Linked DNA regions of Tamandua tetradactyla. The protein of the gene in region 1 purifies or fractionates together with the protein of each later gene. This does not show direct contact. Links are inferred from orthologs where the notes say so. Each region holds a gene or a part of one and is shown on either strand. Other genes may lie near its edges.

Evidence for each region.
Region 2: the proteins of STK11 (region 1) and COPS3 purify together in Homo sapiens (affinity purification with mass spectrometry; 5 studies listed by BioGRID and IntAct, with this or other methods). This does not show direct contact. The link is inferred for Tamandua tetradactyla from reciprocal best matches to the Homo sapiens genes STK11 and COPS3.

What each region holds. Positions count from the first base shown.
Region 1 is NC_135337.1:81,784,628-81,792,608, forward strand, and holds the start of STK11 (serine/threonine-protein kinase STK11), read right to left. Parts: upstream 3,173-7,981; 5' UTR 3,005-3,172; coding exon 2,715-3,004; intron 1-2,714. UniProt on the Homo sapiens protein: Tumor suppressor serine/threonine-protein kinase that controls the activity of AMP-activated protein kinase (AMPK) family members, thereby playing a role in various processes such as cell metabolism, cell polarity, apoptosis and DNA damage response.
Region 2 is NC_135332.1:1,019,506-1,026,869, reverse strand, and holds the start of COPS3 (COP9 signalosome complex subunit 3), read left to right. Parts: upstream 1-4,240; 5' UTR 4,241-4,369; coding exon 4,370-4,424; intron 4,425-7,364. UniProt on the Homo sapiens protein: Component of the COP9 signalosome complex (CSN), a complex involved in various cellular and developmental processes.

The DNA.
Region 1 (7,981 bases):
GATTTCCAAGTGCTGGAAAGAAGGCCCAAGCGCTGGTGGATGGAACAGGGCTCTGAGTTGAGCCTCAGCAGAGAGGCTCATGGGAGGGTCCCTCCTCTCCCACACCACAGGGTGCTCAGGGCACTCTGGGCACGCGGCCCTGCTCCCATCCTGGCACTGTAGACACCCAGCCCCTTTGCTGAGCAGGGCCTTGAGGACATGTTGTGCTGCTGGGAGAATCAGCACCAGCCACAGGGCCATGGGAAGCTGGTGACTACGGTGGAGTCTGGGCCTCAGTTTCCCCTCTGCTTCAGGAGGACCGATGTCCCCTGGGAGCTCCCCTACAGCTGCATGCAGGTTGCAAGGTCTCTGAGGACCCAGTCTATGTCTGAGAATTAGGCAGCCCAGAACACATGCCATCCCACTTCCCCCTGGCCCTGCCATTCTGCCCACATTGGGTTCTGCCCACCTACCCCTTCTGCAGAGCTCCGGGGAACTTCTGGGATCACAGAAATGTCCTCTGCCTTGACCCTGGGGTATGCCCTTGCCAATGTCCAAACCACATAACTTAAGGGGTGCCTTCTTGATAAGTGAAGCCAATCCTGCTCTACAGCATGTGCCGGCTCTGCCCTTGTTGCTTCAGCAGAGGTGAAGTGAAAGCTTTTTTCTAAAATTCTATAACCCCAATCTTGCTCATGATCCCTGCCACACAACCCCCAACTGTGCCACACTCCTGCCATGTGAACCTTGACCCTGCCCTGTGACCCTGACGCTGTCACCTTCCTCACTGCGGCACTCTGACCACCCTTTCTGCTGAGGGCCCAGCTGTGCGGAAGTGCAGGTTCAGCCAAATGCCTGGGTGCCTGGTCAGCCCTGCTGCCTCCAGTCCAGGCCTGTGCCCACAGGGGCCCAGGAGATGGGTAACCCATAGCTCCCCTGGCACCAGAGCTCCCAGCCCACAGGACTCAAGCCAGGAAGGACCTGTGAGTCTCCCAGGAAGGTAGTAGGCAGCTGAGTTAGGCACATCCCGATAGGGGGCACTAGACCCCAGCTTTGCCCTGGGGTGGGGGTCAGGAGGCCAAGCTCACAAACGGTGTTGGTAACAGACATTCCACCCTACCCTGGATGCTGTTCCCAGTGGCTCTGTGCACTTGCCCACCCTGTCCTATGTCCCCAACTCACTGGCGAAACACCTGAGTCACGCCACTGGGCCCTGCAGCCCAGCGAGTAACGTCCTAAACATGAGCAGGTAATTCCCAGTAAGGGGCCTGGAGGGACCTCAGACCCATGATCAAAGGGTGGGGCATGCCCAGAGGGGCTGCAGCCAAGTGAGGGCAACGGAGACACCCCCAAACGAGCCTGGCCCCAGGGAGCCTGAGAGGCAGGGGGCATGTACTCCCTGGGACAGACGCCTGCCATCCAGGGGCCCCTTGTCATAGGCCTGGCCTCTGGCAGTGGGCAGTGCCCCAATAACCACCAAGTACGGGAGAAAGCAGGAAAGGCACATGGCCACACCCCCGCAAGTGCCCCCAGACCCAGCGGTAGCCCTCAGGAGGCCCCTGGGTGGAACCTGACTGGACCCTTCCACCCAGGGAGTGTCAGAACTGTGCTTCCCCAGGCAGGGCCCCACTGGATCTGTCCCGCGCCGCCCGCGGGGGCGGGGAGGGTGAAAGCTGACCGGCCAGGGAGATTAAGGGCGAAGCACAGAGGTTAAAAGCCCTGCCCAAGGTCAGGCGCCCCAGGTCCGTACTGCTAGGCTGTTAAGGAAACAATCTTCTTGAAAACTGCTGAGTTTCCAAAGAAAGAAAAGGGTGAAAGCAACAGGGGACCTGGCCAGGCAGGCGTGCACGGCAGCGATAAGGAAGGGTAGCTTCCCCCTCCCAGCCTGGGAGAGCCACCAAGGGAGGGTCTCACAGACACTTCTCTCCCATGCACTAGGACGGGGCGGGGGAAATGGGTCGCAGGCCAAACAGCCCAGAATGCCAGCCTGGGGGACAGTCCACCTGTGGCTCAGGTCAAGGCTGCCTCTTCTGCCATAGCCCAGCAGGCCAGAAGGGCGCCAGTCCCCTCCCGCGACCGATAAGCTGGCGCAAACAAGGCCTTTTGGCAGCGGCAGGGTTCCCCTCAAACGGGATAAACATTACACCCCCTCAGCCTAGCAACAGCCAGCCAGCATGCAGGAAACCTGCTGTGGGCTGGGCCACCTCCCCAACACCCTTGAAGGGCCCAAATAAACTAAGTGCAAACTGGCTCACTGGGCAAGAGTTCCTTTAACAGCAGAAGAGAGAAAGGGGCGTGCCCCCTGCCCAGGGAGTTGAATATCACAGGCATTTTAATGATATCACACTCATTTTAATCAGGGTCCCACCTGCAACAACCTACCCCAACTTAAGTAAAAACACTTCTGCAGGCTGCCAAAGACACTTCTCTCCTCAGGGAGGATACAGATACATGCTTGTCAGCTCCGGTGTTTAAGAGAAAGGAGGGAGGGCAGGAAGGAGGGAGGGAGACAGAAGGGAGGGAGGGAGACAGAAGGGTAGGAGAGAGAGGAGAGAGGGCAAAGGGAGGGAAGGAAGGAGGGAGAACAGAGGGTGGGAGGGTTAGGAGCTAAGGGAAGAGGAAGGGAAGGAGGAAGGAAAGAAAAGAGGGGGACAGAGGAAAAGAGGGAAGCATGGAGAGGCAGGTGGGCTGGGAGAGGTACCCCCGCGGGCAGGCCCCTTCAAGTCCCCACTCACTTTCTCACGTTGGCCTCCCCGTTGGGGATCCTGCGGAGCTTCTTCTTCTTGAGGATCTTGACGGCCCTTCGGCACAGCGTCTCTGAGTCCAGCACCTCCTTCACCTTGCCGTAGGAGCCCTCCCCCAGCAGGTCCCCCATCAGGTACTTGCCGATGAGCTTGGCGCGCTGGCGGCGCGGCTGATAGATGACCTCGGCTGAGTCGATGCGGTGGATGAAGGTGTCCATGGCCACGGACGCCAGCTCGCCCTCGGCGAACACGCCCAGGCGCGGCGAGCCCCCCACGTCCATCCTGGAGGGGACGCCCGGCGATCCCCGCTCCCCGTGTCCACAGAGTCAGCGCAGAGTCGGAGGAAAAACAGCCCTCCTCGGCCAAACGATTGTCCTGAAGGAAGGTCCGCGGGCGCCCGGCGGAGCGCTCGACCGGTGCCGCCTGGCCCCGCCGTCCGGGCCGCCACGTCCACGTCCGCGGGCCCTGGGGAGGCCGCCGGGGCTGCCGGCCGCGCCGGCTCGTCCTCCAGGGCGTTAGCGCCTTGGCCCCGCGCGCCCGCGGCGCAGGCCAGCCTCCTCCGGGCCGCCCGTCACCCCGGGGGTCGCGGGGCCCCTCGGGGGCAGCCGCCGCCCGCCGACCCCGCGCCGCCCTCCTCAGCGCGCAGCGGCGCCCCCCGGCCCGGCCTGCGACCCCCGCGGCCGACGCCGCGCCTAGCGGCGGCCCGAGCCTCCCCGGGCAGCCCCGGCGGCGGGGCGCGGGGGGCGGCGCAGGCCGCAGGCCCCGGCCGGGGGGTCCCGAGGCTGCCGGAGCCCGGACGCGCGTCCCCCCGCCGCGGCCGCCGCGCGTGTACAGGAGGCGGAGCGGCGAGGGGCCCAGCCCATGCACGGCCCGCGGGAGCCGGCCGCGCCCGCCGCCCCCGCCGCCGCCCCGCGCCTCACTCGCGGGCGCCCCGGGCTGCCTCCCCCTTCCGCGCCCGACACGCCGCCGCCATCTTGTTTACCTCCCTCCCCCACCCGGCGCCTCCGCCACCGCGCACGCCCCGCCGCCGGACACGCCCCCTCGCGGCGCCAACGTGTCCTCCCGTTGGTTGGGGTTTCTTGCCCCGCCCCGCGTCCCGCCCCTCCGCGCCGGTGGATTGGGCCGTTTGGACCCGGGCGGGCGCCCGTTCGGGGATTGGCTCCCGCTGGGCCCCGCCCGAGGGCGGCCGTGGCTCGCTTATTGGCCCGAGGAGGCGCCCGTCACGGGGAGGGGGCGGCACGCGGGCGTGGGGTGGCGAGGCCGAGGTGTTGATCTCCCAGGGGACCCGGGAGGGGCACGCGGGGTCTCTTCGGAACGCGCGGGAGTGGGTGCAGACCCCGAGGACCGCGGCTCGGGAGTTCTCCAGACGCCTTCCTGGCCTCCACCCCCGGAACACCGTTAGGGGCGGAGTGAGAGGTCGAAAAGTAGCCCCAAGTGGCAGATGGAAGCAGAACGTCCTTCTTGAAGCGCCCGTGGGGGAACGAGGGGCGCACAGGGAACCCAGAGCAGAGCTGGGAGGGTCCCAGCAAAGTGCTTTCGGCGGAAAACAGAGATTGGCCGAAAAAGTCTGGGTAAGAGCGAAACGTCCGCACCCGTCAAGTGAACTCGGTACTTCCTGCTTCTCAGCGGTTTGAGAACAGGCAGGGTCTCCATTTCCCCGCGGCGGCCTCCAGGTGACCCCAGAGTCACCAGTGCTTAATCCACATGCAGCCACAAACGTCTACACCCGCCCCCATCGCGGCAGGGCTCGGGGCACTGTCCTCAAACCCACAAAACCCCATTTCATGGATGGGGAAACTGAGTCTCCAAGGAGGAGAAGCAGCTCAAGGTGCCGGACTCCTTAGAGGCAGATGGAGGATTTCCAGGTCCATGGGGGGTCTGGACCCTTACCGGTCAAGCGGATACCCTCAAGGCCCTCCCACTTGGGCCCTCCTAGGTTCTGCCACCCCCATCCCAAAGCTTACGCTGGACTTCTCTGCAGTGTAAAGGTTTGATCCAGGGCTGCTTATGTTTGTTTGTGTTTGGGTTTTATCGGGGTGACCTACATACGACGTAAGATCAGGGTATGTAGGGCCCAGCTCAGAGTTTGTTCTTCCGTTACCATTATCCTCTGTCCTCTCGCTTGCAGCTGGTCCGGGTTCTGGTCCCTTTGGCAGTGCCTGGTTGCCAGCCTCCAAAATGGTCCTGCCATTTACGTCTTTTTAGAGTCTAATCCTCCACCTAAACAGGAGAGCTTTTTGTCACCAAAAAGGTGTGCTGCAAGTGACAGAGTTTGGCTTGCAAGCATGGTCCTAAAAGGGGCTGAGGCTTCCACCTTGGCCTACTGGAGACCAAGCACCATGTTGCGGGGGGCTCCGGCAGCTCTGTGGCAAGGCCCCTAGAGCGAAGAGTCCTGGGTGTGGGACCTCTATTCTGCACCAAGCCTTGGAGTAATGCACCCTAGCAGACAGCGTGACTGCCACCTCCTGAGAGACTGAACCAGAACCTTCCATCCAAGCCACATCTACATCATGCCGTGCAAAAATCATGAGATAACTAACAATTATTGTTATTTGAGGGCACTACATTTTGGGGGATGATTTGTTACACAGCATTGCTAACTGATATACCATGTTTCCTAAAGGATGCCTGCCTCCCCACAGAACAAACACTAGATACTGCCAGAAAGACAGTCAGACAGAAAGACAGCCCCTGGGCCCATCTCAGCTGAAGTTTCTTGGGGGGAGGTGGCTGCAGCGCCCAAGGCGCTGATTGTCTGCTGGCAGGAGGGAGCCAAGAACCATGGACAGTGATGAGAACCTTCCAAGAAGGACAGGTAGGAAGAGAAGCATATCGGTGGGCCCTGGAAGAGTTCCGCATATGTTTAAAGGAGTCTTCATAGAAGCACTCAGCCTAAGCCAAGACTTGAAACGTGATTAGAGAGACTGATGGATGAGTTGGGGTGGGGTCTGCCCAGAGCCCCCCTTTACCCCGGAAACAGTGGGAGCTGCAGAAGGGGTTGCATTGACACATTTTGTTTTCTTTTACTTCTCACTCTAGTACAGGTTTGTTCCTAACTGAGCTCAGCTTCCTGGAAAGCCAAACCCGGCACTGTCTCTAGGCCTCCAGCTGGTTGTCACAGGTGGAGTCACAGGGTGGAGACCCCTGATAATTCCCTTTCCACAGGGGAAACCAAGGTGTTCAGTCACTAGTTAGTTCTCTGAGGCTTCTGTAAATGCACTGTGGGTTAAAGCACAGAAGCAGGAAACCAATGCAAGAATGGGGCCATGCAACATGGAACAAAAATCCTAGAATGAGCTGAGACTCAGCATCAAGGAATTGAGAAAACCTTCTCAACCAATAGGGGGAAGAGAGAAATGAGACAAAATAAAGTGTCAGTTGCTGAGAGATTTCCAACAGAGTCAAGAGGTTATCCTGGAGGTTATTTTTAAGCATTATATAGATATCCCCTTTTTACTTTAAGGTGTATTAGAGAAGCTAGAGGGAAGTACCTGAGACTGTAGCGCTGTGTTTCAGTAGCCTTGTTTCTTGAAGATGGTTGTATAATGATACAGCTTTCACAGTGTGACTGTATGATTGTGAAAACCATGTGTCTGATGCTCCTTTTATCTATAGTATGGATAGATAAGTAAAACATGGATTAAAAATAAATAAATAATAGGGAGAACAAATGTTAAATTGAGTAGATTGAAATACTAGTGATCAATGAAAGGGAGTGGTAAGGGGTACAGAAAAAAAATAGGGGGGACAAAGGTTAAAATATATTGTGTAGATAGAAATACTAGCTGTAAATGAGAGGGAGGGGTAAGGGGTATGGTATGTATGAGATTTTTTTCTTTTTATTTCTTTCTCTGGAATGATGCAGATGTTCTAAGAGATGATCATGGTGATGAATATACAACTATGTTAAGAATGTTCATGTTTGTATGTTGTTATGCTTGTCAATAAAATGAAAAAAAAGAATGGGGTCATGCTTCCTGGAAGGCTTGGGAGAGAGTCCCCCCCGGCCACGTCCACTTCTGGTGGTGGCCATCCTTCATACTCCTTGGCTCGAAGACACTTCACCCAGCCTCCAGCCTCCTTCCCTTCCTATGTGCCTCTGCCCTGAATGGCCTTCTCCCTACGTGCAAGGACCCTACTTCCAGATAAGATGATATTTCCAGATACCAGCACATCTTCTTGGGGGACACAACTCAACTCAAAGCAGTCACCTCCTCAGGGTCCCAGGCAACACCCCACCCAAGCTTGAGCTGCCATCAAGTCCACGTTTCTTTCCATCACAACCCACTGTCCCCTTGCAGGTGAATCCGCCATTGTGACGTCCCGCAGTTGTCAAGACATTCGCTCAGACAACAGGAATAGCAGGGCACGTCCTCAGGATGACAGAGGGCTTCTCCCAAAACTCATTGCTGAGTCCGCACTTCGGGGTGCAAGAGGGGCCACTCCCCCTGGCACTAGGAACAAGGCAGGGATGCGCAGTCAGATGGCTCAGGATTCAGCGTGGTGCTGGAGTTTCTGTCCAGTGAAGGAAGAAGAGAGGGAAGTCACAGGGCCTGGATGGAAGAAGTAAAACTGTCTTTATTTGCAGACAATGTGATTACGAGGGATCTGCAGGAAAGGTGCTGGAGCAAGTAAGCGAGTTTAGCACAGTTGCAGGATGTTGGGTCAGTACGTGCAAAAGTCAATCGCAGTTCCAGATACTGACAGTGATCTGTTTGGAGTAAAATTTTAAGACATACAATTCATCAAAGTACAAAAAAATACCTTTTTAAAAACATTTTCTATTGTGAAATAAAACATATACAAAAAAGCAATATATTTCAGAATACATTGTAAGAAGTGGTTATAGAACAGATTTCAAAGTTTGCTATGGATTACAATTCCACAATTTCAGGTTTTTCCTTCTAGCTGCTCCAAGACACCAGAGACTAATAGAAATATCAATATAATGAGTCGGCAGTCATAGTCATTTGTTACATCCTATCTGTGTTATAATTCCACCTTTTTCTTTGATCCTTCTCTCAGTCTTTAGGGGTATTTGGGCTATGCCCATTGTAACTTTTTCATGTTGCCAAGGGCTGTCGACAATATAGGATAGGGGAATGGAACTAGTTGATGCTCTGGAGAGGCTGGCCCCTCTGCATTTCAGGACTTATCTGGTCCAGGGACCTGTCTGGAGGTTGTAGGTTTCTGGAAAGTCATCATAGTTCATGGAACCTTTGTAGAACCTCACGTAAAGCCCTAGGCATTTAGGGTTG
Region 2 (7,364 bases), on another chromosome or scaffold:
AAGGTTTCTTGTCCGTGTTGGCTCTAAAGCTTTGTCCAATATTTCCTCTTAAAGGGCTACAGTAAGTGACCCACCTGAAATAGGTGGAGGCCCTCTCCATGGAAACCACCTAATCAGAAGGTCCCATCCACAACTGGGTGGGTCACATCTCCAAGGAAACAACTTAATCATAAAGATCCCACCCAATGACACTGAATGAGGAACATGCTTTTCTGGGGTGCACAACAGTTTCAAACCGGCACACTGACTCTGGGGGATCCTGCCTTCTTATCAAGCCAGCATACCCAGCCCCATGTGCGGGCGACCCCAAAGAGCAGGGCCCCGCCCCGTACCCCGGGCCAGTCAGACTTCGGGATCACTGTAACCCAACCGCAACCCCATGAGAGAACCCAAGCCAGAGCCACCTCGCCAAGCCTGGTTTCCAACCCTCAAAACGGTAACAAAATAAATGTGCAGGGTTGTTCCAAGCTGCGGATTTGGGGGGCAGTTTGCTACATGGCAGAGGATAACTGGGATGTGGGGAGAAAGGCTTCCTTCTGCCCAGGCACTCAGGACCTGTCTAGGCTGACCGAAGCTTGGGGGCTTCAACACAAGACTTGCTGGATTGGATCATGCAGCTGGTTTTGACACGTCTTCATCTCAGTCCGCACTCCTGCGGGTGTGAACCCGTCGTAAACAGATTCTCAAAATGTTATTCTAATTAAGGCGTGGCCCAACTGAAGGAGGGGGCCATCATCCTGTAAGCAGAAGAAATGCAGACCTGGCAGGGAGGAGTCAACTGAACCAAAGGGATGGCAGAGGATGTCGCCATGTGGCGGGAAAGCCACGGAACCCAGGATCACATGCCAGCCACCGCGCTAGGGAGCCCCGGAGGAAGCCAGCCTTCCAGCCTCTAACCGTGAGCCAAAAAATCCCTGTGGTTTAAGCCAACCCACTGTGTTGGCATTGGTCACGGCAGCTCAGGAGAGCTATGACAGTGATTTTCTCTGTGGGTGTGGACACCCAGCCAGTGGGCAGGGTGGAGAGAGAGCTGTGCAGGCTAGGCTTGGGTGCAGTGTATGACTTCCCATCGGCCCAAACTCAGTTACATAATTCATACCTGAATGCAGAGAGGCTGGGAAATGCACAGCAAAGCAAAGAGAAAAGGACTGTGTGAACGAGGCTCGTGGCCACAGGACTGTGGCTTCTAAGGTCTGCTGTCACACTGACTTCCACCCTTTCTCTCCCGGGAGCCAGATTCCTTTCTTTTGGGTCATATCTCAGTGAAGCTTTAACAATGATGGTTTTTAAAAATTTTCAAGTTTCCACTTGCAAACATTGATTGGATCTGAAAATGCTTTCCACATTTTAAACGCTGGGCAAGGCTGAGAGATGATTACTACAGCTATAGGGCAAGTGGTTCCCAGCTGAGACACAGAGTGATGTCCTCGCTCGCTACCTTCTAGCCAGGCCAGCACTTTCTCTATTCCTGAAACACACCAAGCTTGCTTCTATTTTAAGGGTTTTGTACAGCAAGTTCACTATTATCTGGAACTCTGCTCCCAGATCTTCTCTTTAATGGGCTCCTTTTCACCCTTCATGTCCCAGAGAAGCCTTTCCATGCCCCATCACCACGTTTTATCATCTTTCTAACCCATATTACTGTCTGAAATTATTTTGATAATTTGCTTGCTTAGCAGCCTTACTCCCTCAACCGGAACTTTACGTCTGCAGGGACTTTGTTTTGTTCACAAACATAGATCCCTGGCATGTGGCATAGGACTGACACACGTTAGATGAAAACTATGAGTCCGAAGGACGAACAAATGACTGAATACAGCATCACCATCAGCTGCTGTGTTTCAGTCTGTGGTGCTGTACATTTCAGGTAATTGTGCAATATCACAGATGACTGCCCTAAAAAACACAAGTTAGAATATATTCAAGGTGATACCTAGAATCACAGCTCTTTTGATCACTTTGTTCTTGAGGAGGGAAGGGTGACTTACTCTAAGCTCTAACTCGAAGTGGTTCACCTATGCCACAATCCAGAGGTTTTCAAACTTCCGTGTCCATGAGAGTTACCTGCAAGGCTTGTTAAAACAGATTTCTGGGCACACCCTCAGCATTTCTGAGGTAGTAAGTCAAGCATGGGGCCAAAGGATTTGCATTTCTAACAAGTTCTCAAGGAATGCTGACGCTGCTAGTCTGGGAAACACACTTCAAGAGCCAGAGCCACAATCTAAAGGGCCCACCTACGCTAAAGCGTCATCAGTAACTCTGGCTACTAGGAATTCTTGTAGCACTTTACTTCGCGGGAACATTGTTTTTACTTCATTAAAAGCTGTGTACAAAAATTTATATTTGACTAGTGCATTTCCTAATATAACTTATGTAGATAGTTTGATTGAACACCATTTAAGTACTTGGAATCTCAGGTAGGACATGAGATTTTGTTGGTTTGTCCAGAGTGATGCCTCGATGAATCCCAGAGTGATTCGATCAGTGAGTGGAAAAGTATTTGCGGGCGGGCCGCGGTGGCTCAGCGGGCAAAGTGCTTGCCTGCTATGCCGGAGGACCTCGGTTCGATTCCCGGCCCCAGCCCATGTAACAAAAACGGAAAAACAAAATACAATAAAGCAAGAAAATGTTTGGAAATGTTTCCCTTTCTTCCTTCCTTCCTTCCTTCTCTCTGTCTTTCCTTTAAAAAAAAAAAAAAAAAAAAAAAAGTATTTGCAAAGTCCCCTTCAGGGAATGGTGAGAGTGGGGAGAAATTCAACTTCCCCAAGTTGAATTCTTGATATTCTCACAAGCAGGGTGGACAACCAAAGCTATAGGCTGAGCCCCCAGTCTTGGGGTTTGTTCATATGAAACTTAACCCCACAAAGGATAGGTCAAGCCTACTTAAAATTTAGGCCTAAGAGTCACCCCCAAGAGAGCCTCTTTTGTTGCTCAGATGTGGCCTCTCCCTCCAGCCAACATGATGAGCAGTCTCACCACCCTCCCCCTCTCTGCATGGGACACGACTCCCAGGGGTGTGGACCTTCCTGGCAACGTGGGACAGAGATCCTGGAATGAGCTGAGACTCAGCATCAAGGGATTGAGAAAACCTTCTCAACCAAAAGGAAAAAGAGTGAAATGAGACTAAATGTCAATGGCTGAGAGATTCCAAACAGAGTCGAGAGGTTATCCTGGAGGTTATTCTTACGCATTAAGTAGATATCACCTTGTTAACCAAGATGTAATGGAGAGGCTGGAGGGAAATGCCTGAAAACGTAGAGCTGTGTTTTAGTAGCCATGTTTCTTGAGGATGATTGAATAATGATATAGCTTTCACAATGTGACTGTGTGATTGTGAAAACCTTGTGTCCGATGCTCCTTTTATCTACCTTGTCTACAGATGAGCAGAACATATGGAATAAAAATAAATAATGGGGGAACAAATGTTAAAATAAATTTAGTTTGAAACGCTAGTGATCAATGAAAGGAAGGGGTAAGGGGCATGGTATGTATAATTTTTTTTCTGTTTTCGTTTTATTTTTCTGCTGTCTTTATTTCTTTTTCTGAATTGATGCAAATGTTCTAAGAAATGATGAATATGCAACTAAGTGATGATATTGTGAATTACTGATTATATATGTAGAACGGAATGATCACGTTAATATTTTAGTTCGTTTGTTAAATTTTATTTTAATTAATAAATTAATTAATTTTTTTAAAAAAGCTGTGTACATCCATGGGCCTATAAGTCAAAATACCTGTCTCGTGCGCTGCAAGGAATAAGTCTTGGGACCAGTTGTTGACACACAACATTCTAAGGCATTTCCATTTTAGAATAAAACATGTTAAAATCATTCATCTAAACGTGTCTCAAATCTACCAATCCATTTTCATCTCATCAGGGCTAGGCGTAAGCGCCTACGTCCCTGAGGCCGCCGTCAGAATCTGCACAGGACTGTCAGGGAGCTGCGGAGCGGCAGACACCGGGGCGAAACAGGCTGCCGTCCGCCCAGCTCGGCTCGCGGAAGAGGCTCGAATCAGACGGGCGTACGGGACGACCATCCCCAGCAAAACCCGGAAAACGTACATAATTATGAGTGCTGTTACCTCTCTGGCCCGCGGCCCGTTGGGACGGCTGCGGGGAGGGATCCACCGGGCACAGAATAGAGACCGGAAAGAAAGTGAACTTCCGGCCGCGAGGAGTCCTCGAATGGTTTCCATGGAAACAGAACCTGTCCCCAGGAGGTGAGATCTCGCGGTGCTTGAGCCGGCGGAAGTGACGTCGAACCCTACAGGAGGCCCTCCGGTGCATCGCCACCGCCCCTCCTCCCAGAGCGGCCGCCTTTTCCCGCCCGAGCCGCCTCCGCCGCTTGGGCCACCCGCGGGAAACATGGCGTCTGCCCTGGAGCAGTTCGTGAACAGCGTCCGGCAGCTCTCGGCTCAAGGTGAGGTCCCAGGCCGCCGACTACGCCTGGAGGGGCCCCGGGGTTGGGCCCGCATCCCCGAGCCCGTGGCGCGGACGGCTGTACGGCCCCGCGGCTCCAGAGACGCATCTCTGGGCTGGCTTCGGGGTTGAGGTGCCGAGACTCGCAGCAGTCGGGCTCCGCCCGCCCCGCCTGCCGGCCTGCGCGCTTGCGACCGGGTCGCCCTTCCGAGCTCTGCCTCGGCCGCCCGGCCCCGCTCCCCTCCTCCCACCCGGTTAGGGCCCGTTCACTGGACGCGCTGCTTGACAGTTTGGGGGCGGGACGGTTCCCGCGCGCCTATTGGACGCCTCGGCCCCTATTCCGCTCCGTGGTTGGCGGGCCACCCTGTCTGTCCCGGCGGGCCTTGGCTGCCTGGGGACTAGGCCGCGGGGAGCCGGCGGGAGGCGAGTCCATTCCGGGCGCCTTGGCTCCGAGGCCCGCCTGGCTCGTGTCTTCCGCCCGGCCTCCCTCGGCTGCTGGCCGGCGCTCGCTTGGGAAGCCTCTGCGCCTATTGTAATTCTCCGACAAGCCCAGGAAACGCTCGCTCTTGCGGGTACTGCGATTATTGTGCACTTAATTTTCCATGCCTTGTGGTTCATTCATCTCATCATCTGAATGTAAGGCTCGGGATGGAGCCCGGGACTCGGAGTTAGAGAAATTAGGTGCTGGGTGCTTAAGCCCTTTTGACTGTCCTGAATAATAGCCCCTGCCTCATGGAGTCGTGAGGATTGAATGAGAGAAAACATAAAAGCACTAAAAACAGGGACTCTCACGTAGGACGCAATAAATAAGGTAAAAAATCAGTGTGAACTGCCATTCCTTGTAAAGTTCTAGGAACTGAGTGACCTTGGACAAGTCACGTATAATCTCTCGAGTCTCATCTCCATTTGTAAACCTGAAGGGGTGAGGTCTACCTCTCTGTAGGTGATCTCGTTTGGAGCTTAATTTGTAGTCGTCTAGCCCCATGTTCCTTATTGATAGCAATTTGGCTCACAAGTAAGGCACGGATTTGTGTTTCTCTACGAATGAGAAAACCATTCATTTATTCCACACTTAGTTTCTACTTTCTGGGTTATAGTGTGATTAGAAGGTTCCAGTTGGTTCAGTCACTTAATGGACCAGCCACTTAATTTTCTTGGGCCAGTTTGCTCGTTTACAGAATGGAATGAGGACTGTAGGTGCATCAAGTGGGATTAGTCATCGGAAAGCTTTGTTCAGGACTCTCTCTTAGGGACAGCCGGTTAGGCAGAAATAAATACCATACACACACAGTTTCTGTGCCTCATTCTTACTGCATGTTAAGTGTTTGAGTTTCTGTTTTCTCTGAGCTTATTCACAATTTTCTAACATGAAAGGTACATTATCATTTCCAGCTTTTTCAGATTAGAGGGCGTTTCATCAGCCACGTCTCTGGTTGTGCTCATTTCAGATAAACCCTGTGGCACTTAAACTTATTCTTTACTTTCCTCTTGGCCCTGCTCAGTTAACTACCTTATGATTTCTTAATAACCCAGTGTTTTGTTTTGCTAAAGCTGGCAGAATGCAATATACCAGAAATGGACTGGCTTTTAGTGTGAATTTATTAGCTTACAAATTTACAGTTCTAAGGCCATGGAAACATCCCAGTTAAGGCACATGGCCTCGTCTGTTCTTCCTTCTCTCCTGGGTTTTGTTGCTTCAACTTCTGGCAGAATTCCCCATCTGTGGCTTTTTTTTGGGAACTTCCTTGGGTGTTTCTCTGTGAACGTCCCTTAATTTCATCTCCCATAAAGGACCCCAGTATGAAGATTAAAACCCACCTTGCATGAAGTGGGTCACATCTCAATTGAAATAACCTGTTCAGAAGATCCAAGTCCAGTAGGTCTGCGCCCACAGGAATGGGATAAACAAACATGGCCTTTTCTGGGGTACACAGCAGCTTGAAACTACCACACCCAGCTTCTTTTTAAGTTTCAACTTGGCATTGGTTATTTAATTGGGGGAAAAAATAACTCACTGAAATAATTGTTTCAGGTGCTTAAAATCATTGTAAATGTATTTAAAGTGGTAGGGAAAATTATTCAGTTGGAGGAAAATGTCTTTCATGCCTACCAGTGAGATCCATAATGATATAACTTGGTATTTATTTCTCAGTTTAATGTGTCTTATTACCTTGAAAATTGATACCTAATAAGATTGTGGGTGTTTAATTCTTGTTTTGTGCAACATGTAATAATAATGGGACATTTTGGTAAAACTGATCAAATAAGAAATGTTATAGTATCGAGGCGTCAGAAATTAAACTATCAAAGTGCCTAGCCACAATCTTGTATTTAAGCGTTGTATATTTTGCGTTATTTTAATAAGTGCAGTAACACGACTACTCTGTGGATGTGGTCAGTATTGGTGACTTGACGTTCAGAAGGTGAAAGAGAAGTATTAGAGGAGGAAGCTGAGAGCCTGATGCTCGTGGGCACAGATGAAACTCCAAAGCCACCAGGAGGACAGGGAATTTGGGGGTGCAGTGTGGCCATTGTGTCCCTCTTCAGCCTAACCATCAAAATGAATGTCTCTATAAAAGTAACAACTCAGGCTGAATTGATGTCTATAACTTTGTCGTTAAAATACCAGTGTGGTAGAGTAGAAAGATCTGTTGGGGTGCGTGGTAGTTCAGTGTTTAGAATGCCCGCCTTTCACGCGGGGGACCCAGGTTCCATTCCTGGACCATGCACCCAAAAAAAAAAAAAAGAAAGAAAGATTAGTTAGAAGATTAATTAATTTCACAAGCTCTGTTTTGGGGCTGAATAAACGACACAGTCTTTCCATCCATGGAGTTTACTCCGTCCCCTAACTGTCAATTTCATTTTATGGGAAGAGCGCCTTTGGGCCAGGGGGGATCTGCGCTGACTGCTGGGTGAGTATGAACGAGCCTGGTGGTGGAGG